2 linked regions of the Nothobranchius furzeri genome follow. The protein of the gene in region 2 purifies or fractionates together with the protein of the main gene of each other region. This does not show direct contact. Links are inferred from orthologs where the notes say so. Each region holds a gene or a part of one and is shown on either strand. Other genes may lie near its edges.

Region 1 (15,046 bases), on a different chromosome or scaffold from region 2:
TATTTATTGCTCTGTGTAAACTCTCCGTTTTCACCTATTTAGATTTTTCATGAACTCTGAAGTGTGTGGTAACTTATTGGTATATCATTATAGCAATTGAGCTGGTATGATTATAATGAGCTCCTGGAGTTTGTTGTTGTTGGGCGTGTGTGTGTGGGGGGGGGATGGGGATGGGGGTGTTTTGTAAAATATTTGTAATGAAATTGAAAGAGACCTCAGGAAGAATAGCTCCACACTATGGTGTGAGCTAATGAGGTTCTCAATAAATAAATAAATAAAATAAATAAATAAAAACGAGAACTAACCATACGGCGAGCAGGAGGTGGGGACACAGAAACTGACAAGTTAAAGAAAATGCAATGGTGATCAGAAATATAAACGTCCTCAGGACAAACACTGTCAGCATTTAGACTCAGGGTAAAAACAAGGTCTAGAGTGTGCCCCCTGGTGTGTGTGGGGCCAGAAACATGCTAAGTAAAGCCAAAGGCCTCCATAAGGCTGGAGAAATTCATGGCAAAGTGATCAGAGGGATCATCAACGTGGATGTTAAAATCACCAACAATCACCAGTCTGGACAGCTTCACAGTGGAGGATAGAAAGTCTCTAAACTCCTGAAGGAAAGAACTGTTTGGACCAGGTGGACGATAGACCACAGCACAATAGAACGGGTTCTTATGCCCGACTTTAATCAGCTGCAGTTCAAAGGAAGCAAAGTGACCAGAGGTTGTAGAGCTACATGGAAGATGGTCTCTGAAAACAACAGCTAGGCCTCCACTACGACCAGAACCACGGGGCTGGCTAAGAAAAGAATAACCACTCGGGTAAAGTTCAATCAGAGCACAATAATCAAATGTTTGCTGCCAAACTTCAGTCAGAAACAGAAAATCCAGGCTTTTAGAGAGAATTAGATCATCGAGCAGGAAGGACTTATTGTTAACAGAGCGGGTATTTAATAGAGCCATGCTGAGTGAGGAGGAGGAATCAGAAACTACAGAAACAGCTGGAGTTAGTGGACGTAAATTAGCAGGGTTAAGCCTGGTTTATGCTTCTCCGTCAGCTCCGCAAGGGACAGACACGCACGGATTGACGGAAGCGTTTTGCTCTTTTACTTCTCCGTCTCCTGGAGAGCGTTGCAAAGCAATTGCCCGGCAGGACAACAGAGGGCATAGCGCTGTTCTTTGGTATCCTGTCATGTATCGGTCCAAGATCGTGTGTTTATTTTGTGTTTTTTGTGTATATAAGAGACTTTTAACACGGACATATTTGTCTCTCATTCTCCCACCGCTTCATGCGCTCCCCACCTCTAAACCCACGTTTCCTGTTATTTCCGTCCACAAATAAAACGCTTGCTGTGCATCTTTTCACTCCTCCAGTCAAGGGAGAATTAAACGTTCATGTTTTTAGAGTTTTTTCGCGAGGTATTCTTCAAGCTTCTCCGTGTCTGCCGCTAGTTAAACTCGGCTCTCTTTGCAATGGCGGCGCTGTAAACAACAGCGGCGTCCTGACCAATCACAAGCTTGCGTAATCCGTCTCGTTCGACGGATGTTTAAAAAAGTGGGCTCGACTCCGTACGTATTTGCGTGCCCTACGCAAGGACGGATAATGGCGTTGCGTGTCTCCGCACTGACGCAGACGGAGAAGCATAAATCAGGCTTTAGATCCACGGTGTTTATAAAAACCACTTATGGAGGGAACAGGAGGAGAAACCACTGAGGAATGAGGATAAACCGACCTTAAAAAACTTGGACGGATGAACCGTGTCCCAAGCGGCCTGGCGGGAATGCGGAAGTGGCGCTCAGGTCACCAAACAAAGGACAAGAAGCTAGAAGATCGCGCCGATGTTTACTAGTTAAACCACGCTTTAAGAGAAGTCTTATTCTCACCTGGATTCCTGCTCGTTTACCTCTTTTCCTCCAACGTTTTCCTGGGACCGGACAAACATAGCCGGAGGTGCGCAGCTCTGGATCGTCGATTGCTTCCGGGCAGGTGCGCCGCTCAGGTAAACAAACAGAATGGTAAATCCTCTGTGCATCTTGGGCGATCGTGAACGAACGGAAGGATAAAAGAGTCTGGCGATCATAGGAGATGGTAGCAGGGACACTACTGAAGAAGATCGCAGACAGGAGCAAGGTGGAAAAGAGGAGGTTAGTGAAGAAAAGTTTGAAAAAGTGGCCAGTGACCGCGGCTAAGCCAAGCACAGGTGCCATCTTGCCGACCGGACTCCAAAGGACTGTTGTGCATGGTTTTGTCGGTGTGTTTATGTTGTGTTTTTTTCATCGTTGCTCTTATTTTTTTCTGTTATGCCTCTGATGTACGGTAGGGTTATCACTGGTTTTGGTTCTTGTCTTTCTGGATTTCTGGTTCTTTGCTTAGTTTGTTCTTTTCTTTCTGTTTTTGTTTGCCGTTTTCCTTTGTTTATTGCCCATGTCGGGTATCCGCAGGTCTTTAAAGCGTATTGTATGTGTTTGTCCTCTTGTTTCTCTTTCTTCTGTAATTATGTTTGTTTGGTGATGTAATGCTCTGATTACTGACATTTTGTGTATGGTGGGGTGTTCTGATGTCCACAATAGATATTGGTCTTTGTGTTGGTTTCCTGTATGTGTTTATGTTTAGGGTCCCGTCGGTCTGCCTGGTGATTTCCATATCCATAAATGCTATACTGCAGTAAATGTAGTTTCCAAATAATAAATAAGAGGTGCATTCATCTGTGTATCTCCTTTGATCCGCATTAGTGATATTCTCAGCACCAGAACAGTGAAGCAAAGAAACAGATTCCTGAGTTTGTTAGTAATTTTATTTATTAGGTGCATCTAACCTGTTCTATTTTTCTCTGAAATGAGATCAAATCAGTGCTTCTATGGGTTGTTTCCACTCTGCACCAGAAAATTTTACTTTATTTAGAGAAGTGTCATAATTTCTCCCCAAGCCTCCTATTTGAGAGCCCTCTCAACAGAGAAAATGTCAGCTAAGAAGGCCAGAAACACAATTCTCCTTCACGGTGTCCAGCTGGCCATGTGCATGTTCTCCTACATCTCCCCCAGTGTGGAGATTGTCTTGCAGATCATCATTCCAGGCCGGATTCAGGAAATAAGATTAGCAAATTATCTTATTGTCTACCTTCTGCCTTGTTTCTTGAGCCTAATAATCTAAGGCGTCAGAGACCTGAAATTTAGGAAGCATCTCAGGATGTACCTTCTGTGCTGCAGGTACAAGTACACAGTAAAGAAAGTAGATCCTGTAAACAAAGACAGCATATAAAAAGGTCATTCCTCCATCTTTGTTCTTATCTACTAGTTTTAATTCAGTGTCATGGGAAGGTCTTGTGGTCTACATGGACAATTCAATGATTGAATTTTGACTATTTAAAGGGATATTAAAATTGAGTTTTTGTCTGTTGACATATTTTCCAGAGTTAGATGCGGGGGAAAAAATACTAATTTAACCAGTCCAGTCATTCTGCTAACCTGGCTGTACTCCTTTAGCTTTAGCTTAGCATCAAACACAGTAAGTGAATGGATCCAACTAGCATTGTAAGTAAAAAAAGTTCAGTTGTGATCCCATTTCTGCTTGTTGACCTAAATATTCAGACTGACTGCAAGTGAATCTATCACAGGCATCATTTCAAATGGGACTACTTTATGACAAAGCACAACTGTAAGCTTCTGCTGAAATTAATTTCAAATAACTGTTTGGGAGTTTGTTTAAAAGTTGTTAATAAAGGTTTCTGAAAATATTATCACAGCGACCAGCATCGCGGCATGCGTTGCAATCGATGACACAATACTCCCTATCTCAATTTTGAAATTATTTGCACACTTGTGTACTACGCACTTGAAGCCTTGCTGCACACTTTTCCCAAGTGCACTTAGCTGAAGTCCGCAGGGCACGGTGCGAGTGTTGAGACTGGGCTGTAGACACTATTGGTTTTACTCAAAGAATACAGCTTCACCCACTCCTGCCATCATACATTAGTGCTGACTTATGGCAGAGAGTGTGAAGAAATAATATTTCAATCAATCAAATCTTATTTGTATAGCACCTTCCACTGCCTTTACAGAAGCCCAAGGTGCTGAACATAACATCAAAACAACAAAAGAGCAAAGAGACTATAAGACAGATTAAAACTGCATAAAAGAGTAACTAAAATAACAAAACAGATACGATAAAAGACTAAAATTCTAAAAATCCATATTACATAAAAGCCAAGCGATAAAAATAAGTCTTCAAATGACTCAAAGACCTGCAGAGATGGGGACTGTTTGACAACAAGTGGGAGCCTGCTCCATTGTTTCGGAGCTAGGACAGAAAAGGCCACATCACATCTTGCTTTCACTCTTGTTTTTGTGACGATGAGCAAATCTTGGTTAGCTGAGCGAAGAGAGCACATATCATAACTTTATTTATCTATCTAGTTTTTTATCTTGATTATTTATCTAAGTTTATTTATATATTTCTCTCGAATACTTATCTGTTCTACTGGTTTTCTAATTTTCTGTTGTATGTTAAGGAGGTCCCTCTCAAAAACCAGATGTTTCATCTCAAGGGGCTTTATCCTCGTAAAATATCTGAGCAGATCTATCAGGATTTAGGGGTGGGGGGTGAACTGGAGCTCCCAGAGAAAACCCCCCATGCAGCACAAAGAGACACAAAAATTATTCGGAAGAATATTTTCTGTGACATAATCCTTGTGTTGCATTTTTTTTTTTTTTTTACAGATTATTGGGTACACGTGGTGGTGCTGTGTGCCAGGGAAGGGACGTGATTGATAGTCACCCTTGATGGAAATGCTTTTCTAATTTATCTAAAAACTAACAATGAACACTTTCAGCATTCAAATAAACAAATAAACACCGGACTAAGTTAGATTTTTTTCAGAAGTCACTCAAATTTAAGCTTCATTCTGTTCTTAAATTGCTGCCATTTCAGCTTCAGTTTAACGTTTATTCCAGATGGGACCGATGTGTGTCTTTTTTCTGGTGGAATTGATTCAGGAATACTAGTAAGTAAATAAGTAAAGGTTATTTATAGAGCGCCTTTCACAGATATAAATCACAAAGCGCTGTACAACATGAGTAAAATCAGGGCAAAATCAATAAAAGCAAAATAAAAATCAAAACTGTGAAACCAGCACATAGGCTGCCTAGCCTATAGCTGTAAGTCCTGGGATAGGCAGTCTTATCCTGCTTAAGGATACTGCATATGATTTTACTGGGTGACATGCTGGACAGGGTAATTTCATAAATTTTTTTAAATAACTTCTTTTTACACAAATGAAGTCCAAATTTATCTGCCCATCTAAACGATTTCCCGTTGCTGTTTTGGGGAAGGGCAGTCTTATCCTGCTTTGTTAAACTGGGTGATGTCTTACTAAGGGACATCCTGGGAAGGACAGTCTTATCCAGCTTTGTTAAACTGGGTGATGTCTTACTAAGGGACATCCTGGGAAGGACAGTCTTATCCAGCTTTGTTAAACTGGGTGATGTCTTACTAAGGGACATCCTGGGAAGGACAGTCTTATCCAGCTTTGTTAAACTGGGTGATGTCTTACTAAGGGACATCCTGGGAAGGACAGTCTTATCCAGCTTTGTTAAACTGGGTGATGTCTTACTAAGGGACATCCTGGGAAGGACAGTCTTATCCTGCTTTGTTAAACTGGGTGATGTCTTACTAAGGGACATCCTGGGAAGGACAGTCTTATCCTGCTTTGTTAAACTGGGTGATGTCTTACTAAGGGACATCCTGGGAAGGACAGTCTTATCCAGCTTTGTTAAACTGGGTGATGTCTTACTAAGGGACATCCTGGGAAGGACAGTCTTATCCAGCTTTGTTAAACTGGGTGATGTCTTACTAAGGGACATCCTGGGAAGGACAGTCTTATCCAGCTTTGTTAAACTGGGTGATGTCTTACTAAGGGACATCCTGGGAAGGACAGTCTTATCCTGCTTTGTTAAACTGGGTGATGTCTTACTAAGGGACATCCTGGGAAGGACAGTCTTATCCAGCTTTGTTAAACTGGGTGATGTCTTACTAAGGGACATCCTGGGAAGGGCAGTCTTATCCAGCTTTGTTAAACTGGGTGATGTCTTACTAAGGGACATCCTGGGAAGGGCAGTCTTATCCTGCTTTGTTAAACTGGGTGATGTCTTACTAAGGGACATCCTGGGAAGGACAGTCTTATCCAGCTTTGTTAAACTGGGTGACAAATCATCGTCATCGTCACTTTCAGAATAAGAGCTGGAAAAGTCAAAATCACTATTGTGTGAAGATGAAAGGTTAGCACTAAATTGTTCACAAATCTTTACAAGTGACCAATACTCAGGTGTGAAAACATCTGACTTCTGCAGCACAGAGAGATCGAGTTCATATCCACAAAAGTCTTTGTCTGCAGGCTTGTAAGAAGGTTTATTGTCCTCTGCAGCTACCGACTCTCCTTCAACTGAACTCTCTTGTGAAGCTAGGGCCCTTTGAGTCGCTGTCCTGTCCTTATCAAGAGGCCCGATCTGAAGTGTCTCGTCACCCAGATCAAACACATTTGTTTCAACATCTCCTTCATCCAAAGCATCTTCATCTTGACTGAGTTCATCCTCACTAAATTCATCCTCTGAAACTAAACATTCAGCTTCAGATTCCTCTGAAGATAATACATTTTCAAACATATTTGGTTTAACATCATCGTCGGCTGAAGCTGATGTTTCCTCCTCACTAAATTCATCCTCTGAAACAAAATATTCAGTTTCTGCGGCCCCTAAATGTCCCTGTGACTCTAGCAGATCCTGAGTGTCTTCAGAAGTGATGGAGCAGTAATCTTCTATTGTGTGTGGAGCGAATGATGCTTCATCCTGACCTAATCCATCCAGAAGATTTACGAGTTCTGCTTCTTTTAGCTTGAAATTTTCCTTTAAATGGAATAAAACTTGAGGGTCGCTTTTATCTAAAGACAGCTCAAGATTGTCAGGATTCTGACCAAACAAATCCACGTTGACGTCTTCATAAGAGACAGATTTGTCATCAAAGATTTCCTGTGAAGCCAGAAACGTGTTTCTTGTTTCAGAGGCAAATTCTTCAGAAGACAAAAACTGAATAGAATCATCTTCTTGATCGAATAAATTCGTTTTCCCATCACTTTTTTGTGAAGCTGGTATCTCGTCTTCAGTTTGTCCTAAATTTGAGTTTGAAAAATGGAAAGCTTGAATTCTGCTTTCATCAAACGGCAACAACTCACGAACATCTGCTGCTTCAAACAAATTTGCTTTATGTGTTTCAGACGTTACAGGGACACAATCAGCGCCATTCTCTGAAACTAACAAGAATTTCTCTTCATCTGTTCCTGATTCCTCCTGGGAAGTTGTACTGGCACTCCCATCAGAGGAAAATATCTCATCAGGCTCTGAATCAAAGAAATATCTGTTTTGTGAATCGTCAGACTCATATTGGTTGATTTCCTCGTGAGCCTTGGCAAATTTCTCATCTGGAACAGCTGTAACTTGGGATTCATCTTTCCAGAGACATCCCGTTAAAGTGACAACTGTTCCTTCTAAGTTTCTGATATTTTCATGGTTGGACGCTTCTGCAGTCTTACAGCCGGCATTACCTGATGCACCGTAGTCCAGCAGAGAAGAGAATTCTCTTTTTGGGTCAATAAGTGAATGTTGGTCATTTTTCTGGGCATCCGGTGTTTCTGTGGGGCTGGCTAGGGATTCAGACAGGCAACCTCCCATTTCCTCAGGGAAATGTAGCTCTGAAATCTGAGATTCATCTCTCCCAGGATAAGCGACTGAGATTTCTTGTAAATCTCTGTTTCCATGGCTGTAAGGTGTCTCTCTGCCTGGACATTCAGAAACCCTCCCCTCACCGTGAGAAGTAAATAGAGTAGTTTCTCTGTCAGAGTTGGTTCTGGGTTCAGGTCCGATGATAAAATTGTCTCCAGACACTGACTGGAATAATTTTTCTAAAGCTTCATCAAATTCTTTGTTTTCTTGCTTTTCGAAGAAATAATCAAAGGTTTGTCTAACAGTTTCAGTAAAATAGTTTCCAAAAAGGACGCCTGCGAGTAAAAAAAGCATCTTGCTACAAGACTCTCTGAGCAGCGACTGACCTGTTCCGTGTGCTTGAGCGAGCTACCGCTGGTGTCATAAAGACTAGGGAGATCACGTGACGTCCTGACGTCATCAAAGGAACGATCACGTGACGTCCAGACTGCCCAGTGCCCACCTACTAGCGTCTTACGTCACCACGTTAACCAGGCAGCGGAAGTCATCGCGTGAGCTCGGAGGAAGAACTTAGAAGCTTCCTCGCGTGTCGGGAGTCCGCGAGGCGCGTTTGGGTCTGTTTACGCTCACGTGGAGCTAAAAGTTAGCATTAGGCCGCGTTTAGAGAAGTCTCCGCTCGGATCTCCACTACAGTTCTGCTAGAACCCGCGCTGGTTCCGGTCCTCAGCATGGCGGTCAGAGCTTCTTTTGAGAAGAACAACGAAGTCGGCTGCTTCGCCAAACTGACCAACACCTACTGCCTGGTGGCCATTGGCGGTTCAGAGAACTTCTACAGGTGAGTGTGATACGTCACGGACTACTCTAAAACAAACGTGACGTCACAGTGTCGTGTTTGTGCGTCTGCAGCGTGTTTGAAGGAGAGTTATCAGAAACCATCCCGGTGGTTCACGCCTCCATCGCAGGCTGTAGGATCATCGGCAGGATGTGTGTGGGTGAGTGGGACAGCACGTTCTCTGGTGGTTCTGCTGGTTCCGACCCGGTTCTGTACCTTCATCCTCCTCCTCCTGTGAGCAGGTAACCGCCATGGCCTCCTGGTGCCCAACAACACAACAGACCAGGAGCTGCAGCACATCAGGAACAGCCTCCCGGACTCGGTGAAGATCCAGAGGGTCGAGGAGCGGCTTTCTGCCCTGGGGAATGTCGTCACCTGTAACGATTATGTGGCTCTGGTTCACCCCGACCTGGACCGGGTGAGGCGAACGGAAGTTGTCCCGTTGGAGCCACCAGTGAAGATGTAGACCAGGTGAAGGCTGCCTGTCGGCTTAACGCTGGTTTTCTTTCAGGAGACGGAGGAGATCCTTGCAGACACGCTGAAGGTGGAGGTCTTCCGTCAGACTGTAGCCGAGCAGGTTCTGGTCGGTTCCTACTGTGCGTTCAGCAACCAGGGAGGCCTTGTCCACCCGAAGACGTCCATCGAGGACCAGGACGAGCTGTCGTCCCTGCTGCAGGTCCCCCTGGTGGTGAGTGATGGTGTCTGCATGTGGAGTCTGGGTCCAGGTGGGTCCTCTACTCAGAACTTTGCTCATTTCCAGGCAGGTACCGTAAACCGAGGCAGCGAGGTTATCGCTGCGGGGATGGTGGTGAACGACTGGTGTGCGTTCTGCGGCCTGGACACAACCAGCACCGAGCTGTCTGTCATCGAGAGTGTCTTCAAGCTGAGTGACACGATGCAGCCGTCCGCCATCGCCACCAGCATGAGGGACTCGCTGATCGACAGGTACCAGAACCGTGTAGTCTGACAAGAGGTTTTAAACGTGTCGAATGGTCTGCATTTGAGATAGCGCCTGCCAGAGTCCTGGAATCCCCTAAGGCACTTTTCAACACCGTCATTCACCCAGTCACTCACATTCACACGGTGGTGGTGATGAGCTACGATGTAGCCACAGCTGCCCTGGGTCGCACTGACCGAGGCGAGGCTGTCGAGCACAGGTGCCACCGGTCCCTCCGATCACCACCTAACCCAGAAACGCCTTAATGGGCATTTCTCCTGCTAGATGTTCGTCAAAATAAAAGTCTACACTAACTGATTGTGTCGCACCACCATGGCAAAAAAAAAGCCACCAGACCTATAGAATATATGTTAATTAGATTTTTTAAAGATACTCCAACTTGTTCTGTTTGGGATTTTATTCCAGGCTACTGTTGGCCCACGCCTTACTGCCAGTAAAAAATGTTAACATGTTCACACTAGCTCGTTTTCTCTTTCTAAACAACCGAACCAGAACTCTCCAGCCAAGAACACCCCCTTCAACATAAAAGTCAAACCCTAACAAATCGTAACCCCTCACGTTATTGTAAAACAATGTAAAGCGTGAAATATACAGTCTATAACTGCGCACTTATACTAACCATGATCATAGTTAGAAATGAATTAAAATATGATGAAACATTTAAATTTTATTTTATTTTGAAAAGCCACTGGCTTCTTCCTGTCTAGCTGCGGTGTTTCGGGTGAGCTTCTCATGAGAGACAGTCCAAAGTATAGGAGAAAAGTCGGTGTCGTGCCTTATGGACAGTCTCCCGTTTGGAGTCTGATATTTAAACTGTGTATAAAGCAAGGGGCGGGACTTAAATGCAGGATCGGAGAGCGTGGAGCGTGCTCACGTCAAACCAGCAACACAAATGAAAGGGCAGGGTGGGCACAGACGATCAAGAACTGTATTAAGGATGGAGAACAAGTAGATGAGCGGAGAGAATCTTATTTTGAAATATCGGAGGTGAAGTAACATTTCAGGAGCAAGTAAACAGAAGAGGTCGTTCCCCATTTTAGCAGCTGGCCGGATAATATTGGGGCGGGCCCCTCCCAAGTCTAGGCTGGGGCCCGTTGCCCATCCGAAGCTCCGCCCCTGGTTGTGATACGAGGTTCAACCTCCTCAGTAGCCTAGTGGAGTGTTCACCCTGGGACCAGGAGATCAGGGTTCAAACCCGGTCGGGTCATACCAGCTGCAGCTCGCCGCCCCCCATGGGGATGGGTCAGGTATCTAGATGTAACTCCACCAGTGTGTGGTGATGAGAGACTTTACCTTAGCTTAAATGTCCCTGGTCCAAGTGTAAGTGCGGGGGAAAGAGGCAACAAAATCCTGAAAACTGTCCGAGTTTGAACTTGCTGAGACAACTGTGGGACATGCTGGAGACCAGAACAAAGACTCGTTGTGACTAAACCGCTGAAGAAAACAAGCTGTTGGCCCCAGTTTGCTGATGGTTTAGTGACTCCATGCTAAGTTTACTCTGGCTTCTGTATAAAAGCGTGAATGTTGCAGCTGCAGTGTCTCCTTCCTGTTTCCTGTCACCGACTGAAGATGCTCCATTAACTCGACGGCATTTTCTCTGCTTGTTTCTCAGCATGGCGTAAAGCTGCCGCCTCTGACCGCTGCTGGGAGGACCAGATGTAAAACCTAGCTGCAGCCACAAACACCCGTTGTCCCTGAGCAGAAGAACCAGGCCTAGAGCCTGGTCTGGGGTTCTGCTGCGTGTCACCCAGGATCTAAACCGGACTTAAAACGAGCTCCTGGGATTCCTCGGAAAGCTGGCGAATGAGAACTCGTGTTTGTTTCTCACCAGGTTTTTGTGTTTTGAATGTAAGAAATCAGACTACGGGGATGCTTTCTGTACAATAAAACCAAACTCTTATCTGTTGAGTTCTTTATGAAGAGAAGCTGCAGGGTCGCTCCAGCAGCCGCTGCTCCTGAATCTGTTGAACAGAACCAGAACAACAGGAAGGAGTTCTGATTCTGGTGATCATTTAAAAACCAGAACGTTTATTTTTTTAATTTCTTTCCTTCAGGTGAACACCTGTGTTCAGGTACAAGAAAGGATGCAAATCTTTAAAGGCAACTTTTTATTTATTGGCAAAAGCTGTTTATGTACGCCACAACAGCGCCACCAGCAGGAAGCTTTAAGGAACAGTTTTGGTTTGGGGAAACGGCTAAAAAGTTTAACATTCAATTAAAACACCTGTAAATTAAAACCAATACACATTTATATGTAAAAGAAAACAAGTCCATTTGTAAACTGTTGTACGAAGAAAACAAAAGCATAATTGTTATTCTAACAGTTATTTTTAATTAATGTGCAAAAGAAGCTCAGATTTCGTTTTAGCTCCACTTGGTGCTGCTGTAAAGATTATGTACACCAGCAGGGGGCGCCACGACATCCAGCTCTACGGGGTCTGTTAGAGCCAGTGCATCTCAACACACACACACTAGTGTCCTGTGACCCCGCCCCTTTCTCATGATGCGTTTCAGAACCACTGACCACATCCGGTTCAGAGTCCAGGTCACCAGACCAGGTTGTTTTAAAGTCAGCATGTGAGTACGTGCTGTTGTGCTTACAGAGGTGTGTGTGATCAGGTCTGAACTAAACTGGGAAATATTGCACTTTAGATCAGTAAACTGGTCTGAAAAACAAAAAAGCTGAAATGATGGATTTGATGCAGGACGCACCTGTGCTGAGTTTAACTTGACTCATGATGAGAACTAACGAATCGTTCTTACCAACTAAAGGTACGGCTTAGTTTGTAGGATTCCTCCAAAATAAGAGGACTTGAGCAGCAGTGGATAAAATAAAAGCACAAACAGGAAATCCTCTGGTGTCCGACCTAATCTAAAGCTCGGATCCCACTGTGCGATTTGTGACCGTCTTAGCCAAATCCCTCTTCGGGAGCATAATCGTGTGAAAAAAAAGCTGAACGTGAGGGCGATTTGCAAATCTGTGGTGGTCCGGTCTGCAGGGCTCTGCGACGGCTTTTTGAGCCTTCTCACAGCCAAAGACGGCCTCCGACAGTCTACGAGCATTCATCCTACGACTCCTGTCTGCAACCGACCAGAAGCAGTTTAAACTTGTTTAAAATGCGGATTATAAACGACACCCCAGTTTTTAGTTTTGTTAATAGCCCAAGCTAAACCGGAGTTAAGCTAAAAATAATTAAACTAATTTTTAGACCATCAGCTGAATTGTGAAATCTAATTTTGTGAGAGTGAGACGAGAGCAGCTCACAAGAACAAAAAATAAAACAAAAACATAAAACCCCTTTTCTGTTGGTGGAAATCTCACATATTCAACCAATAAGGATGGTTCAGTAGCGTTTAGCTGCAGGGGGACACAGGAAGCTGCGCTGGGTCATGAGCTGACTCTATAAAGAAATGTTAACGCGGTGCTTTATTTGATCTTTTCAGCTTTCTTTTGGCTAGCGGTCTGCTTAGTGGTCTGCGCTCATGACGCCGCGTGTCCTGCTGGAGCGAGACGTCATGCAGTCTGCCTCACAGGAATCTTGCTCCGTGCCGTGTGGCACAGTTCTGGAATTCTCACAATGCGACATGAACAATCTGCCGCAAATCGCACAGTGTGATCTAGGCTTAAGGAGGGGATGTTGGTTTTTCCTGTGAAATCTTCATCTGTCTTCCCTCCACCTGAAAATGCTCTGCCCCCTCCCTCCTAGCAGCCAAAGGTCTCCTGCGAGGCGTAGACCATGTAGAGGAAGCCGTCCTCGTCCCTCTCCTGCTCATAGATCTCAGAGATGGGGGTGGACACCGACACCATGCTGTGCTGGTTGACCAACAGGAAGAAGGCCTGGGTGGGGTTGAGCTGCAGCCGACGCCTAGCAAACCAGAAAATAAACGAGGGGTAACGGCTTACTGATGGCGTAGATTCATAACTTTGTGAGGTAAAGTTTTCATTTACCAAAACCAGAGACGTTTACGGAGGTAAATTGCACACAATTCTCCAATATATAAGAAGGGATTTTACAGAACCCCCCTGGAAATGCAGGGAAGTAAAAGTAATCAAAATTGCCCAAATTTATGATGAGAGATAAGAAATATTAGACAATGTTAATGATCCAAGAGAAGCTGAGCCTCCCAACAGGCCACTCGGCAGACAGGTTTCAGTTTACCTGATGATCTTCACCAGCTCGCTCATGTTGACGTGATCCGGTACCAGGAACTTGGTTTTGTCCAAAACTGGCAGCTGTTTCTCACCCTTATACCGCTCGATGATCACCTGCACACATGAAACCACGACGTTTAACAGACTGTGCCTTGCAAGCCTGTTGGAGAGCTCTCAAATATCCTTGACCAAGCAGTGTTATGTTAAATTCACAGCCCCCCCCCCCCCCCCCCCCCCTTCAATCAGGGAAATAAAGTACAGAAAAATAATTTTACTTGCTGATAAAAAAGAAGCAGAAACTGCTTGGATGACCTGTTAGTGCCGTCAGCAACCGCAGCTTGCCCTCTGTGTCCAAATAATCCAGGGGACTGCCTTAGACTGGTTTAGGTCCTACTTCTGTGACCGCACCTTTAATGTTATGATGGGTAGTGCTGCCTCCCCCTCTGCGGCTTTGACTTGTGGTGTTCCCCAGGGCTCTATTCTTGGACCCCTTTTATTTAATTTATATATTTTGCCCCTGGGTGACATTTTTAAAAAACACCACATTGATTACCATTTTTATGCAGACGATTGCCAATTATATGCCTCTGTGAAGCCTAATGACTCCTTACTGCCCCTTGTTGAATGCTGTAATGATGTGAAGAGCTGGCTGTCAGAAAACTTTCTTTTGCTGAACGACGCTAAGACAGAGGCCATCATTTTCAGCCCTGGTACTTCTCAAAGTCCCCAACTGACCCTTCCATTTATCACAAGTGGGTTGAAAAACCGTGTCACAAACTTAGGGGTTGTGATGAACGCTAAACTAAAAATGGACATTCATGTCAACCAGGTAGTTAAGATCTGTTATTACCACCTGAGGCGTCTCTCTAAAGTTAAGCCCATTTTAAAAAGGCGTCATCTTCATTCAGTTGTCCATGCATTTATTACTTCCCGTCTCGACTACTCTAACTCAGTGCTATACGGTATCTCCTCCTCCACTCTCGCTCAACTTCAGCTTGTGCAGAACGCAGCAGCTCGTTTCTTGACTGGCACCAGGCAGCGGGAACACATCACACCGGTTTTAGCAAATCTTCATTGGCTCCCCATCCATCTCCGGATAGAGTTTAAGATCCTGGTTTTTGTGTTTAAATCCCTAAATAACTTAGCACCTGGCTACTTGTCTGAGCTCATTCACCCATATGTCCCTACAAGATCTCTCCGATCAGCTGACCAACACCTCCTACATGTCCCTAGCTCTCGCTGTAAGTCCCGCGGGGAGCGCGCCTTTTCAGTTTGTGCACCGAAGCTCTGGAACCACTTGCCCCTCCCGATCAGACTCTCTTCCTCTCTTTCCCTTTTTAAGTCTCGTTTAAAAACTCACTTTTATTCTCTGGCTTTTAATTCTGTCTAACTTA
Region 2 (14,995 bases):
AAAAGATTTCTCTACGACGGACAGAAAACGCAGTTTGAACAGGGTTAGACAAGCGAGCCTTGCAAGAATGTATATTTTCCTACTGCTTATAACAGTGGAAAGCATCAGGAAAGTGTAATGGTTAGTGCTTGTGAGATTCTTGCTTGAGAAGGGTTTGGGAGGCAGAATGACAAAAGAATTCTGATGGAATAAAACTTGCAAATCCTTCCCCATCCCTCTCTGCTGTGCTTTAGCTCTGCCTCTAAAGCCCCGCCTCCTCATTCACATACAGGAAAGTAGCTACAGCAAATGTAGAACTGGCAGTAACCGTTCCAAAACCTACTAACACTTTTCATTCAGATTTCAGGCTCTGAACTATACATGTGAAAGAAACACTAATAAGTTATTTTTACTTTATCACCCTTGAAGAAGTAGATACAGGAGTCCCTCCTGTCATAATAAGCTGTACTGATTGGACTGGGCACACCTGGGAAACCCTCAGAAATCAGCTTTGGATACTGCTGTCCTTCTGAGTCTTGTCTGAAAACCTGGTCGTTCTCACTGTCATATCTCCAGAACTGTGTGCCTGTAAAAAAAAATGGAACGACATCAACTAAAAACAATTTATATTTTCAGAAAATTGTACAACTATCAATCTACCTTTGAAGAAATAAACATAATCTTTCTTTCTGGACCACACATGCACATATGCATCTACTCCATCACTGGGAAGCCCATGCCAGCCGATCTGCAGAGCAACCGGATCACCATATCGCGTTCTGTTGTTTCTGTTCTCGTACAGCCAGTACAAACCATCTCTCATGAAGTATGTGTTGAAGCGGATGGTCACATCCCCATAAGGTGTCTTCTCCTTTCTGATCCAGTCAAACACAGTGTCAAATCTACCTCTACACGCACCTGGAGTCAAACACATACATTTATAAAGATGGTCCAGATTCTCGGTGTGTATCCAGCAGATGGTGATGACGTACCGTAAAGATGCTGTATAGCTTTCCTGTCCATCCAGTCCATCTCAAAACTTGATTCATGGGGCAAATAGCTGGGCTGCATGATAGATCCAGGTCTGTAGATGTGGGGTAGGCCCAAAACATGGCCTATTTCATGAACCGCCACCTAAAAATGAAAAGCACCGAACCTCATTCTTCTTGATCATTTTTTTGTCTCTAATTCAATCCAGCACACCTACACTTACCTTAAGGAGGCTGATTCCACTGTGAGAGTTGGGAGCAGTGAAATGCTCATCATCATCAAAGTGTATATCACCAAGGAACCAGGCATGGGCAAATTCTTGCCCATTTCCGTCAAACCTTTGATTGCATCCCAAATGCCTTCCTGTATGCAGACAAATGATGAGTAATAAAACTCTACAACTGGCATTACATACAACTGAAGCCTTCTCAAGTCTGGTAACTGTCACTGTGCCAAAGTGTACTTTTGGTGAGCAACAGCAAAAACACAAAGCACTGAACCAAAATTCAACTGTCCCAATTATTTTGCAACTTTGCAGACAAGCACACGCGCGCACACACACACACACACACACACACACACACACACACACACACACACACCCACACCCACACACACACACACACACACACACACACACACATTTTCTAAACTCCAACAAATGAAAGATGTGTCCTCTGAAGCCTACCTGTGCCAAAGCCCAGCCTGATATCAACATCCTCCAAAGGTGACCTAATATCTTCAATAAACTCCAGTGGTGACACCTCACTCCACATCCTGAAAGCCAGTCTGAAGATGTACCTTTGCTCCTCGATACTCAGCTGACTGCTGTAGCCTTCTCCGATCAGCCGCCATTTTAGTACACTCTTAGAAAAAGCAATGAAACCAGTTTGATCCAGGTCTCTTCTCTGCCGCCTTTTTGACACCAGACTGGAAAGGTGGCGCTTCCTGCGTCTAACTGTGTCACTCAGACTTGCGTTCATACTAATTTTCCCCATCTGACCATCCAAACCACTGAAACTGGAGCTGTTCCTGTTTGTATCATTTGAAATACCCACGAGAAGAGTATCTGTATCATTAAAATTGAAAATGTCATCATCAGAGGAATTAGAGCTGCTGATGCCTGTCTCATTAAAACTGTCACTCAGACTGTCTTCGGTATCTGGTCCATCAGTGTTCTCAGGCTCTACGTAGGCGTCAATCTCCTTGTCGGGGACTCCACACCTCGGTTTGTTCATCGCCTCCTGGGTGGCCTCATCAAACACCCCTGTAACAGGCAGATCTGAAACTCTCTGGAACTCTTTAAGTGCTGAAATAAATGCTTGATTCCCAGTTTGGCTCACATGGACATCATGAGTGCCACTTCCGGGACCATCTCTTGAATGAGGCACTGAGGTCCCCTCCTGAATTTTGGCTTGTAGATCATCCAGGATGTCTTCACTGAAATAAGTGTCGGAGCTCTCCGTCTGGATCTCCTCCCAGTTAATCGGCTTGATGAATCCATATCTAGAGAGAAATAACTAAAGCAAGACCCAGAGCTGGCTTGTTTATTATTATAGATACAATTGGTAAAAAACAAACAAACATATATTTATACATATACACACACACACACACATTATAAATTACCTCGGCTTTGTATTCATCTGTAATAACAGGAGCCTGGTGAGTTTTAAGGATCTGAACATCAGAGTGATCCCGATTATGGAAAAGTTTCTCCGCGTTGTTTGGGATGGTCAGAAAGAGCAAAGCAATCAGCTGGATGGAAGTCAGCATCGTGCCGTTAGTTTTTACTAACAGCAGGAGCAGCACTGCTTTATAAGCAAATGTTTCTCCACACCCATCTTAGAGGAGGGACTGTCTGGAGGTTACACTTTCCTCAGTTGTGCGTGAAAAGTAAACTCATCAGTTTGACCAACCTCCATGTCATTCATGCTGCGATGATTTCAACAAACTGTCACCAAGCCGTGGACACCTTCACTTTCATCTGAGCAATAAAAGATGTAAAACACTTTTGCCAACACCTGCTTACACACACACACACACACACACACACACACACACACACACACACACACACACACACACACACACACACACACACACACACACACACACACACACACACACACACACACACACACACACACACACACACACACACACAGAAATGTTTTACGCAAGATTTGTCAAACTGATTAAGGTTTATTTTCAAAAATAATTTAAAATACATTTTTAATCAAATCTGAGATGAAAGAAAAATGGCTAAACTACATTTTTCAGTGCAAAATCAAGAAAAGGGCATCAAAACAATGACAAAAAAATCCCAAAACAATGAGAAACAATAAAAAGTGTATTTGTCTGGTTGATTACTGAAGAGCGTCGGCTATCGCTGCAGCCAAGTGTTGAGCTGTTGGTTGTTCTGCTGTGCAGCTGACACACAGACCCTCTGCTGCCATAGCATCTCGTGTGGTGGGCCCTATGGCTGCAAACTGGAAACAGAATGAGCGCTGAAGACCTGTGGCATGCTCCATAATCATCCATTTCATATATTTTTGATTGACCATAAGGAAACTTTACCTTAATTTGCGTCAGCTGTTCACCTGACAGCCTCCTTACAGCTTCCAGGCAAAACTTCACCCCAGACGGACTGAAGAATCCTACACTCCCTGGAATACCCTAAGAACACAAAAGCAAATAAACACTGGTTATATATGAAAATTATGTTTTTATCAAAATAAAAGAGGAGTTGGGAGTTTCACCTGCTTTGTGAAGTAGTTTTTTAGATTCTTCTCCAGATCTGGATGTTCAGTAGTTTGATAGACAGTCAGAGTCTCCAGGGGAACCCCTGGAAACAAAGAAACACATCCCCAATGTGACAAAGGTAGTGCAATTATTATTTTGTTAATTAGCTTAACCCCAGAGGGTATTTCGCCGACCTGAGCTTTAATCGTGAGACACAAAAGAGGGAAAATCTTACCATTTTCCCTTAAAGCCGTGGGCAAGACTTCTCTTTTAATTGAACCACAGGGGAAGAAAAGTGGTGGGATATTTTTTTCCTCTCCTAAGAAATGAATCAAATATCACTTCATTTCAGAGATTAGAACAATTAAATGATTATACAGAGGTGTAAAAAATGAGAGAACAAAAACCACATCGTACTTTCGATGATGAGACGTGATAGGACGTCTGCTGTCCCCGTGTCCTCACCCTCGGGCTCCAGACCCAGGCTCTGTACTGAAATCATAAAAAGCACAAAGATTATAACAGAAATGTTTAAAAAACGGGTTTTTACAGGTCTTGTCTACGTATGTAAAAAAACATTCTAGCTATTTTTAAATCACAACAAATGAGTGATTCAGGGCGTAAGGCAAAGCATATTAGAATACAGCTCTTATAGCCCCATCTACTTGCATTTATTTTTTCTTAGAGACCCATGAGCCGACTGGAAAAGGAGGAGACTTGGGCTTCCTACAATCAAACACTGACAATGGAGTCAGCTGCCACTAGACTAACAAGGTAAAACCAACATTAGGAAGGTTTTACACTTGATTGGTGTCTTCCAGATCAAATCCAGTTTCTGTGGTTCACAGCTTACTGCCACTTGTGTGTAACAGCAAACTGAAGGTAGTTACACTACTTTACGCACATGTATGAACACCAGGTGCTCGTCACACCCGGCTGCATCTTTCACTAGTTTATAACGTGCACTATCCATAAAAACATCTAGAAAAAAGGTGTCTGCAGGTGCTCTAAGAACTCACCTAAAGCTGCAGTAGCCTTCCCAACCACATAGATGGATTTCCTGTTCCATTTGTCTTTCAATGATTTGTTCCACTCTGGATGAAAAATATTGTTTTACAAATAATATTATTAAAATTCTCAAGCAGAATTGGCACACAGACACGCTAATGCTTTAATCATGCTTGTTTCATTTTGACCTTGTTTCCTATCTTTATCTTCCAAGCACAGCTTCACAGCTTCCACCGCTCTTGGACTAGTGAATATCAAGCCACCGTGTTTCTCTGGTTGAAGAAGCTTATGAAATAAATACATTAAAATGATCAGTGGTTTACACGTGCAGCCATAGAAAGTTAGGTAAATGACACACTGGTTCAGATAATGTTATTTAATTTACCTTATCTGACAAGGTGTTTGCTGAGATAAACTTAAAAGACAACACTGGAATTAGGGTTGCTTTGTGCCCACGTGATTCCAGCTCCTGTAGAGTAAAAAGCATAGCAACAAAGCAGTGTGTGTTTAGTTAAAACCACGTCATTGATTTGGTTAAACTGTTTCTACCTTAATGTAAGGATCAGGTCCAGACTCTCCATCTCTGGGGTCTTTAAGAAGCAAAACACGCATCCTGTCAATGAATAAAAGACAGTTCAACGGAGCCAATAACACAAGGTGGGTTTTGACATCTGTTAGAAAGGTATCAGCTGCTTTCAGAAATTTAAAGTAGTTAAATCAGAGGGTGTGGAGACTTAAGTAGCTCAGCTACACCCAGAAACGGTCACATGCAACCTACAGATAGCAACACTGTTGAGTCACGATCCCTGAATAGGAAAGATTATACACTAAACTATTATAAACTAACAATAACGTCAACTTGTATCGTAAAATCCGCTTTAGCGTAGTTGGGCACGTCGGTCTGTTGTTGCGGTCTGTCTGTTGTTGTTGTTGCAAAACACACTGACAGATTAGCCACGATAACGTTCCAGTTTAACCAAAAATACGTCGATTTTCAGCTATAAACGTTAATAGTTTTTGTTTAACATTAATTGCGCAATTATATTTGCAACAATATGCGGTTGGAAAGACGAAATAACTGCATAACATCGACATATATACATGCATAAGAATGAACACCTTCAGCTGTTCATCGGACGACTTCATTGGCATTTAAAAATAAGATGTCCAAAAATTGCCTGTCGATAAATGTCTCCCCAAATCTATGTAAAATTAGAAAATGTTTTATATTTACATTTTAAACATTTAAATAGGTCATCTAATGCAAGTTAGTGTTTATGTCACATATTTTAGAGACATATTTTCTATTTTATTCCAATATATTATTTACAACGTTTTCCCCAGTGTTAGGAAATGGTTCAGTCGCGTGAGCCAACATGGAGTCGACGTCTGTTCGGATCTTCTCGGGTGTACGCCCATTCCACAGTCATTTTGAGCCAAAATGGCGCCCGAACGTGTCCAGTTTCCTGCTATCCGTTAACCTTAGCAGCGCCTACTTAAATATACACGGGTTTCACGCTTGATCATGGCCTCATCCGCTAAGAGGAGAGCAGTGGGTTTGGGTGAGAATCCCGAAGAAAGCGACAACAGCTCGGATGAGAGTCCGGAGGATGACGGCGAGTCTGGAGAGGACGACAGCGAGGCGTCAGAGGAGGAAATCGACGAGGTGGCTAATCCACAAAACCCACGTGGCCTTTCTACCCGCTAGCTAGCATGTCCGTGATGTTATCATGAAGACATAATCATTTTTGGTTTAAAATGCATATTTTTTTTCTTCTCTACTTGCAGGAGGTCGTGGTGGATTTTGAAGCCCATGCGATTTCAAACAACGACTTCAGTGGCATTAAGAAGCTTTTGCAGCAGGTGCAGAACTGTGTGTTGTTGTCACATAAGCGTCACGAATAGTTGTCACTAATCTTTACTAGTTTGGACTCAGCTGTTCCTGAAGGCGCGTGTAGACACAGCAGAGATGACGGACATCATCATCCAGCAGAATCATATTGGGAGCGTCATCAAAGTGAGTCGTTTTTTTCCAGTCCCAAACTTTGAGGCGCTGCATTTTATCCCCTGTTCTGATTACGTTCCTCCTTCATCTGGTTCTAGCAAGCTGAAGTTCCAGAGGACAGTGATGATGATGACCCGGATGAAGTCTTTGGATTTATTGCTATGCTCAACCTCACAGAGAGAAAGGTAGGTAATCTCTGAAGATGAGTAAAATACGTGAATTTTTAACTTAATTTTGAAGGTTGTGGCTTTTCTTTTTTTTTAGGGCGTGCGGTGTGTGGAGGACATCAAGGAGCTGATATTGGATCAGTGTGAGAAGAATGCTTCTCACAGTGTGACTGAACAGCTGGAGCAGATCTTAAATGACACAAGCAAACCTGTGGGACTTCTGCTGAGTGAGCGCTTTATCAATGTGCCTCCACAGATCGCCCTCCCTCTGCATACACAGCTCCAGTGAGTGCTTCTTTTGCTGCCCAGTCTAACCACTTACAGGCTCCTATCAACAAATAATCACCAGAGAGAATAAGAAGTTCCTCTGAAGAACAAAAAAGAAACAGCACTACAAGAACATTGTGCCATCCATCCATCCATTTTCATCCGCTTATCCGGAGTCAGGTCGCGGGGGCAGTAGCTTAAGGCGAGAGGCCCAGACTCCCCTCTCCACAGCCACTTGGGCCAGGTCTCCTCCGGGGGAATCCCAAGGCGTTCCCTGGCCAGGTGAGAGACATAGTCCCTCCACCGTGTCCTGGGTCTACCTTTAGGTCTCCTCCCGGTTGGACGTGCCCAGAAAACCTCACCAGGGAGGCGTCCAGGAGGCATCCTGGCCAGATGCCTGAGCCACCTCAACTGGCTCCTCTTGATGTGGAGGAGCAGTGGGTCTACTCCGAGCCCCTCCTGAATGACCAAGCTTCTCACCCTATCTCTACGGGAGAGCCCAGCCACTCTTCGGAGAAAACTCATTTCGGCCGCTTGTATCCGCGATCTCGTTCTTTCAGTCACTACCCAAAGCTCATGACCATAGGTGAGGGTAGGAACGTAGATCGACCGGTAAATCGAGAGCTTTGCCTTCTGACTCAGCTCTCTCTTCACCAGGACAGACCGGTACAACGCCCGCATCACTGCAGATGCAGCACCAATCCGCCTATCGATCTCATGCTCCAGTTTTCCCTCACTCATGAACAAGACCCCGAGATACTTAAACTTCTCCACTTGGGGCAGGACCTCATCCCTGACCTGGAGAAGGCATTCTACCCTTTTCCGAATCAAGACCATGGTCTCAGATTTAGAGGAGCTGATTCTCATCCCAGCTGCTTCACACTGCTGCGAACTGCTCCAGCGAAAGCTGAAGATCACGATCTGATGAAGCCAACAGGACCACGTCATCTGCAAAAAGCAGAGACCTGATCCTCAGGCCACCAAACGGATGCCCTCCACACCTTGGCTGCACCTAGAAATCCTGTCCATAAAGGTTATGAACAGAATCTGTGACAAAGGGCAGCCTTGGCGGAGTCCAACTCTCACTGGGAACGAGCCCGACTTACTGCCGGCAATGCAGACCAAGCTCTGACACCGGTCATACAGGGACCTAACAGCCCCTATCAGAGGGCCTGGTACCCCAGACTCCCGGAGTACCCCCCACAGGGCCCCCCAAGGGACACGGTCAAACGCCTTCTCCAAATCCACAAAACACATGTAGACTGGTTGGGCAAATTCCCACGCACCCTCCAGGATCCCCCTAAGGGTATAGAGCCGGTCCAGTGTTCCACAGTCAGGACGAAAACCACATTGCTCCTCCTGAATCTGAGGTTCAACAATCCAACGGACCCTCCTCTCCAGAACCCCTGAATAGAACTTACCAGGAAGCCTCAGGAGTGTGATCCCCCTGTAGTTGGAACACACCCTGCAGTCCCCCTTTTAAATAAGGGAACCACTACCCAGGTCTGCCAGTCCAGTGGGACTGTCCCCGATGTCCACGCGATATTGCAGAGCTGCGTCAGCCAACACAGCCCTACAACACGGTGCCAGAGACGGAAAAAAAGTAACTCTCAGAACTTAAAATAATATCCATCAACATTGACATTTGTCGTAATGATCATGTGCACATGTGGGTGAAACATTTATTCTCTACATAAAGGTGCAGTCAAGTAGAACATGACCTTACTTTTGACGGCAGATCTGAATGAATCTGTCATAAAATAGCTCCAGTCTCAGTAGGATGTGTTTATATATGAAAGCAGTTTATTCATGGATCGTCACAGACCCTAACATCTACAGGCTCTGCCAGATGAATTTTCATAGCTTTATTAATGCATTTGTTGAACCTGCTGAGATCTCTGGTGCTGATGCTGCTGCCCCAGAAAACTACAGCAAGCACATAGTTCAAAAATTACATGAAGTTAAATCTGTCCTTATGACGTTTCTCAGTGCAAGAAGAAAACAGCTTTTGCCTAAAATAAATGATTAAACACTAACCTTCTTTGGGATCTGTGGGGAAAATCAATGAAATGAAACAGTGCCTCAATACATTTAATTCTGCAAAACTAAAAATAAGTTTGGTGATTTCAGAGAAATGGCCAAGCCCAAATTAGTATTTTCATGCTAACTGAAATGGCTTAAATATCTCCCAAGCTTGTTGATGACTAAATTCATCATGTCCTTTTTAGGAAAGAAATGGCTGAAGCTCAGAGAACCAACAAACCCAGTGAGAAGTGTCATTACTGCCTGATGGTCAGCAAGACGTGCAAAGAAGCTGCCAAGAACGTCCCGGCCAGAGGAGGAGCTCCTAAAGAGGAGTACATGTTTGTCAATGCCGAGGAGGAGTTCTTTTACGAGGTGAATGCTCTCTGTTTAAATACGTGATCACATACAGGGGAGTTTATATCAGTAACTTGAGCGTTTTACCTTCAAACTGTTAATAATAATGTCTTTGATGGGTTTGTTGTTGCAGCAAGCCATCATAAAGTTCCACTACTCAGTGCAGGATGATGCAGACTCGTGTTTGAGTGGCAGGTGGTCGTTTGACGACGTTCCCATGAAGCCATTCAGGACGGTGATGCTGGTCCCCGCAGACAGAATACCTGCAGTTATGGACAAACTGAAGGAATACCTGACAGTCTGAGACATTTCAGGACACGGTGAAGACCTGCAGCCTCATCAGTTGATCAAAAGCAGGATTACTTTCAAAAGTGTCCGTTTTAAGTGGGTTTTGTTTAAAAATGACTACAAACTGTCAATTAATTGTAAATGCAAAGGGCAGCTGTGTACAATTTGTCAGGTTTAGACTTAGTCTGACCCTTATGAGCTTTAAAATGACCGTTTATGATTTTGGTGTCTCCACTTGGATTAAAATGATGTCAAAGCGCTCTGTTTGAACACAGATTCTTCTGTCAGGTTTCAGTCTCTTTTATAATAATCCATTATCAGAGAAAGGAGTGGAGTTTATCTTGTTAAAGTATTTTTGTGGGTCACAAGTCTTTTGATCAATCACAGTCAAGGAGACAGCAGGCCAAACATTTAGATGCTGCAAGAGTGGTGTTCAATAGCCTGTTGCCCATTTAACAAGTTTGCCATCTGAAAAGTTGAATGTTGCATAAAGACTTTTAACGTGTAATAAATTGGTAACCCCTTATAGTTTGTTTCAGCTCACTTGATCACACTTCAGTCCCTGCTGCGCAGCTGCTGCTTACATCACTGCGGATCGTTTCTCTGTGTAGGGTTAGGGTTACAAACAGGACCTGCTGTTTGTCTCTACTCTCACTAGGAGGCAGCATTTAGAAGAAATGCATTAGTGCTATTTGAACCTGAAAATCATACCAACATATAAAACGTGAAGTCGCTACTGCACATAGAGATCACAACAATTGAGGAATAAAACAAATTAGCATTATCAAGGAATTCAGAGTAAGTTTAAAAACTACAAATATAAGTGGAAATGCTAATCCGCTACAACTGATGAATGAACTCACACGAGGGGAAACTTTGGTTCCAAAGCAGGGTCACGATATGGGAAGCTCAATCCTGATCAGGGTGTCCAGAAAATAATCCTGACACCACTTTCAACTCAGATCTGTCAGTCATTATGAGACACTTCAACCAAAGAACAAAACTTAATGTTTATTCTAATATCTATTCACATTGAGTAAACTAATTATTATAAGTCAGATATTTAAAGCTACAGATTGCTGTGAATGGATGAGGATGTACACTGGAGTTTTTGGCTTTGAAGGTGTAAACATGAGGGTGAGGTGATCCCCCTCAGCACGCTGGAACATTCTGGGGCACTGAAACGCCTTTTGAGTTGTGCCGGTGCAGGAAGCCATTTGGTTCTAAAGGACAAGAACCAACATAAACTATAAGTACAGCTCATTCTGGCTGTGAAGTCAAGATGAACTTAAGGGGCCAGACTGACAAGATGATCCTAATTTTGAACAAATTTCCATCATTGATGCTGGAAGCTTGTTCAGCTCCTATGCCTATGCCTGCATGCGGCTCTCCAGATCTGACGGTAAAACCTTGTGAGGGTAAAAGATTAATCCCTTTTTGTCTTTTGCCTTATAACAAAACTGAACACTTATTTGTTTTTACTCTTGTCTTTTTCATAAAATATGTTCCTGACTGTTTTTTTTCTTCTAAATGTATATTGTTCTCTTTTAACATTAACCTGCCAGAGGACTGCAGATGGAAATTAGCCTAAGGCTACAATCTGGCATATTTACAGTTGTAATGCTGTTCATAAATATGCATTGTCTTTTCTTTAAATGAAGTAATTAAAATAAAGATAATTTAGACCAATAAAAGACTATTGCAGCAAAGTGAGCAACATTTAAAATACATGACAGTATGTTTGGCTTGTACTTCCACTTCTTATAGTGCTGCATTAAACTAGATGTGTTGTACAATCTTTAATGAGCTGGCCTCTTTTCTGGTCCTGTTGGACTGGGTCAAACTCCGACAATAGTAACTCGCTGAGCTGCCAGCTCTGCTAAAGCATGGATGGCTGAGCCCAAATAGCCACACTACAAATTTATTTCTGGTTTTTGGGCCAACACACTTTCAAAATGCACCTCTTGACTGTGAGGAGATGCTATTTCTTGGAACAAGAAACATAGCTTACATCAGTAATGGTGTAGAGAAAATCTGTTGTAAATTCAGAATGTTTGTGGCAAATTCAAGCTTGTTTATGTCACTAGTGTAAATATTCAATCTTGCTTATGCCACTGGTGTAAAGATCAAGCTTGTTTATGTCACTAGTGTAAAGACCAAGCTTGTTTATGTCACTAGTGTAAATACCAAGCTTGTTTATGTCACTAGTGTAAAGATTCCAGCTTGTTTATGTCACTAGTGTAATGATTCCAGCTTCCATATGTCACTAGTGCAATGATTCCAGCTTCCTTATGTCACTAGTGTAAAGATTCCAGCTTGTTTGTGTCACTAGTGTAAAGATTCAAACTTGCTCATGTCACTAGTGTAAAGATCAAGCTTGTTTATGTCACTAGTGTAAAGATTCCAGCTTGTTTATGTCACTAGTGTAAAGATTCAAACTTGTTTATATCACTAGTGTAAAGATTCAAACTTGTTTATGTCACTAGTGTAAAGATCAAGCTTGTTTATGTCACTAGTGTAAAGACCAAGCTTGTTTATGTCACTAGTGTAATGATTCCAGCTTGTTTGTGTCACTAGTGTAATGATTCCAGCTTCCTTATGTCACTAGTGTAAAGATTCCAGCTTGTTTATGTCACTAGTGTAAAGATTCAAACTTGCTTATGTCACTAGTGTAAAGATCAAGCTTGTTTATGTCACTAGTGTAAAGATTCCAGCTTGTTTATGTCACTAGTGTAAAGATGTGAGCTTCCTTATGTCACTAGTGTAAATATTCCAGCTTGTTTGTGTCACTAGTGTAAAGATTCAAACTTGCTCATGTCACTAGTGTAAAGATCAAGCTTGTTTATGTCACTAGTGTAAAGATTCCAGCTTGTTTATGTCACTAGTGTAAAGATCAAGCTTGTTTATGTCACTAGTGTAACGATTCAAACTTGTTTATATCACTAGTGTAAAGATTCAAACTTGTTTATGTCACTAGTGTAAATATTCAATCTTGCTTATGCCACTAATGTAAAGATAAAGCTTGTTTATGTCACTGGTGTAAAGATCAAGCTTGTTTATATCACTAGTGTAAAGATCAAGCTTGTTTATGTCACTAGTGTAAAGACCAAGCTTGTTTATGTCACTAGTGTAATGATTCCAGCTTCCTTATGTCACTAGTGTAAAGATTCCAGCTTGTTTGTGTCACTAGTGTAAAGATTCAAACTTGCTCATGTCACTAGTGTAAAGATCAAGCTTGTTTATGTCACTAGTGTAAAGATCAAGCTTGTTTATGTCACTAGTGTAACGATTCAAACTTGTTTATATCACTAGTGTAAAGATTCAAACTTGTTTATGTCACTAGTGTAAAGATTCAAACTTGTTTATGTCACTAGTGTAAAGATCAAGCTTGTTTATGTCACTAGTGTAAAGATCAAGCTTGTTTATGTCACTAGTGTAAAGATTCAAACTTGTTTATGTCACTAGTGTAAAGATCAAGCTTGTTTATGTCACTAGTGTAAAGATTTGAGCTTCCTTTTGTCATTAGGGAACGTCCAGGCTTTTAAGAATAGGCTCAAGACCCACCTTTTTAGCTTAGCTTTTAGCTGATTACCATCTATCTAGTCTGTTTATGTCACGGCGTGTGGGCGAGGTGAGCAGAGGTGAGGTGAGGCGAGGATCCAACGCGGGTGAGGAAACCAGGCAGACAGGTAAGAACGTTTGAACATACACACGCAGGCCAATGAAACAATGACCCAACAAACTACAGAGAACAGAAGGGGTTTAAATACAGGAGAGTAAGGAGCTTGGGTGATTGGGAAAACGAGAAGCAGGTGGGAGTAATTAACGAGACACAAGGCTGAACCAAACAGGGAGACAGGACAGGGTGTGACAGTTTAACTGAATCGTCTGTCATATTTGTTTATATATATATATATATATACTCACACACACACACACACACACACACACACACACACACACACACACACACACACACACACACACACACACACACAAATTTATCTCTTTTATTTCATTTTGTCATTTTATTTACATCTTAGTGTTTTTACATGATTATGTTTTCTTTTACTATCTTTATAATCACTTTTATATCAGTTACTTTTTATCCATATTAGGTTTTGTTATTTTACAGTTATGTATTTTAATCCTCCAGTGTTTCCACTGCCTTGGGGCCGGTGGTCGGCGGCGGCGGCCGGGGCGCTCCTCGGGTAGTGCCCGGGCAGTGGTGGGGGTTTCTGCCCTCCCCCACTGGGTGTCATGGGCCGGTGTCTTGGCTGCTGCCGTGGATCTGTTGCTGTCAGGTCAGATGGCTCCGCTGATTATGTGTCATTCATTACCTGACCCATCTGAACTCAGCCTATTGTTTCCTCTGTTGTTCACGTGTGTGTGTGTGTGTGTGTGTGTGTGTGTGTGTGTGTGTGTCTGTGTGTGCATGGACGAGTGTACGGGTGATTTTATGTCCACTTTGGAAGTTGGGTGTGGGAGGGGAACCGCAATTGTCAATTGTTTTATACTTGGGGAGGGGGGCTGGGATGGGAATATGGGATCTATGGGGCCATTTTAATCTGTGAAGCACTTTGAGTTGCATTTTTTTTGCATGAAAAGTGCTATATAAATAAAGTTGATTTGATTTGACTAGTGTAAAGATCAAGCTTGTTTATGTAATTAGTGTAAAGATTCCAGCTTGTTTATGTCACTAGTGTAAAGATTCCAGCTTGTTTATGTCACTAGTGTAAAGATGTGAGCTTCCTTATGTCATTAGTGTAAATATTCCAGCTTGTTTATGTCTCTAGTGTAAATATTTAAGCTTGTTTATGACACTAGTGTAAAGATTCCATCTTCCTTATGTCACTAGTGTAAAGATTCCAGCTTGTTTATGTTACTAGTGTAAAGATTCCAGCTTTTTTATGTCTCTAGTGTAAATATTTAAGCTTGTTTATGTCACTAGTGTAAAGATTCCAGCTTGTTTATGCCACTAGTGTAAAGATGTGAGCTTCCTTATGTCACTAGTGTAAAGATTCCAGCTTGTTTATGTCTCTAGTGTAAATATTTAAGCTTGTTTATGACACTAGTGTAAATATTCCATCTTCCTTATGTCACTAGTGTAAAGATTCCAGCTTGTTTATGTCACTAGTGTAAAGATGTGAGCTTCCTTATGTCACTA

Evidence for each region.
Region 1: the proteins of bccip (region 2) and eif6 purify together in Homo sapiens (affinity purification with mass spectrometry; 3 studies listed by BioGRID and IntAct, counting the BioPlex papers as one, with this or other methods). This does not show direct contact. The link is inferred for Nothobranchius furzeri from reciprocal best matches to the Homo sapiens genes BCCIP and EIF6.

The regions. Positions count from the first base shown.
Region 1 is NC_091743.1:78,235,596-78,250,641, forward strand, and holds eif6 (eukaryotic translation initiation factor 6), read left to right. Parts: upstream 1-8,234; 5' UTR 8,235-8,437; coding exon 8,438-8,544; intron 8,545-8,615; coding exon 8,616-8,701; intron 8,702-8,783; coding exon 8,784-8,959; intron 8,960-9,052; coding exon 9,053-9,229; intron 9,230-9,301; coding exon 9,302-9,486; intron 9,487-11,111; coding exon 11,112-11,121; 3' UTR 11,122-11,399; downstream 11,400-15,046. Other genes in the region: microtubule-associated proteins 1A/1B light chain 3A, read right to left, coding at 13,203-13,365, 13,660-13,766. UniProt on the Homo sapiens protein: Binds to the 60S ribosomal subunit and prevents its association with the 40S ribosomal subunit to form the 80S initiation complex in the cytoplasm. Behaves as a stimulatory translation initiation factor downstream insulin/growth factors.
Region 2 is NC_091756.1:42,757,760-42,772,754, forward strand, and holds bccip (protein BCCIP homolog), read left to right. Parts: upstream 1-6,247; coding exon 6,248-6,388; intron 6,389-6,510; coding exon 6,511-6,585; intron 6,586-6,658; coding exon 6,659-6,739; intron 6,740-6,825; coding exon 6,826-6,912; intron 6,913-6,991; coding exon 6,992-7,179; intron 7,180-9,389; coding exon 9,390-9,558; intron 9,559-9,673; coding exon 9,674-9,844; 3' UTR 9,845-10,356; downstream 10,357-14,995. Other genes in the region: mmp21 (matrix metallopeptidase-21), read right to left, coding at 393-565, 640-897, 972-1,113, 1,193-1,332, 1,658-2,489, 2,599-2,745; uros (uroporphyrinogen-III synthase), read right to left, coding at 3,339-3,461, 3,550-3,648, 3,732-3,817, 3,950-4,033, 4,132-4,206, 4,734-4,808, 4,911-5,007, 5,108-5,191 and 2 more. UniProt on the Homo sapiens protein: During interphase, required for microtubule organizing and anchoring activities. During mitosis, required for the organization and stabilization of the spindle pole.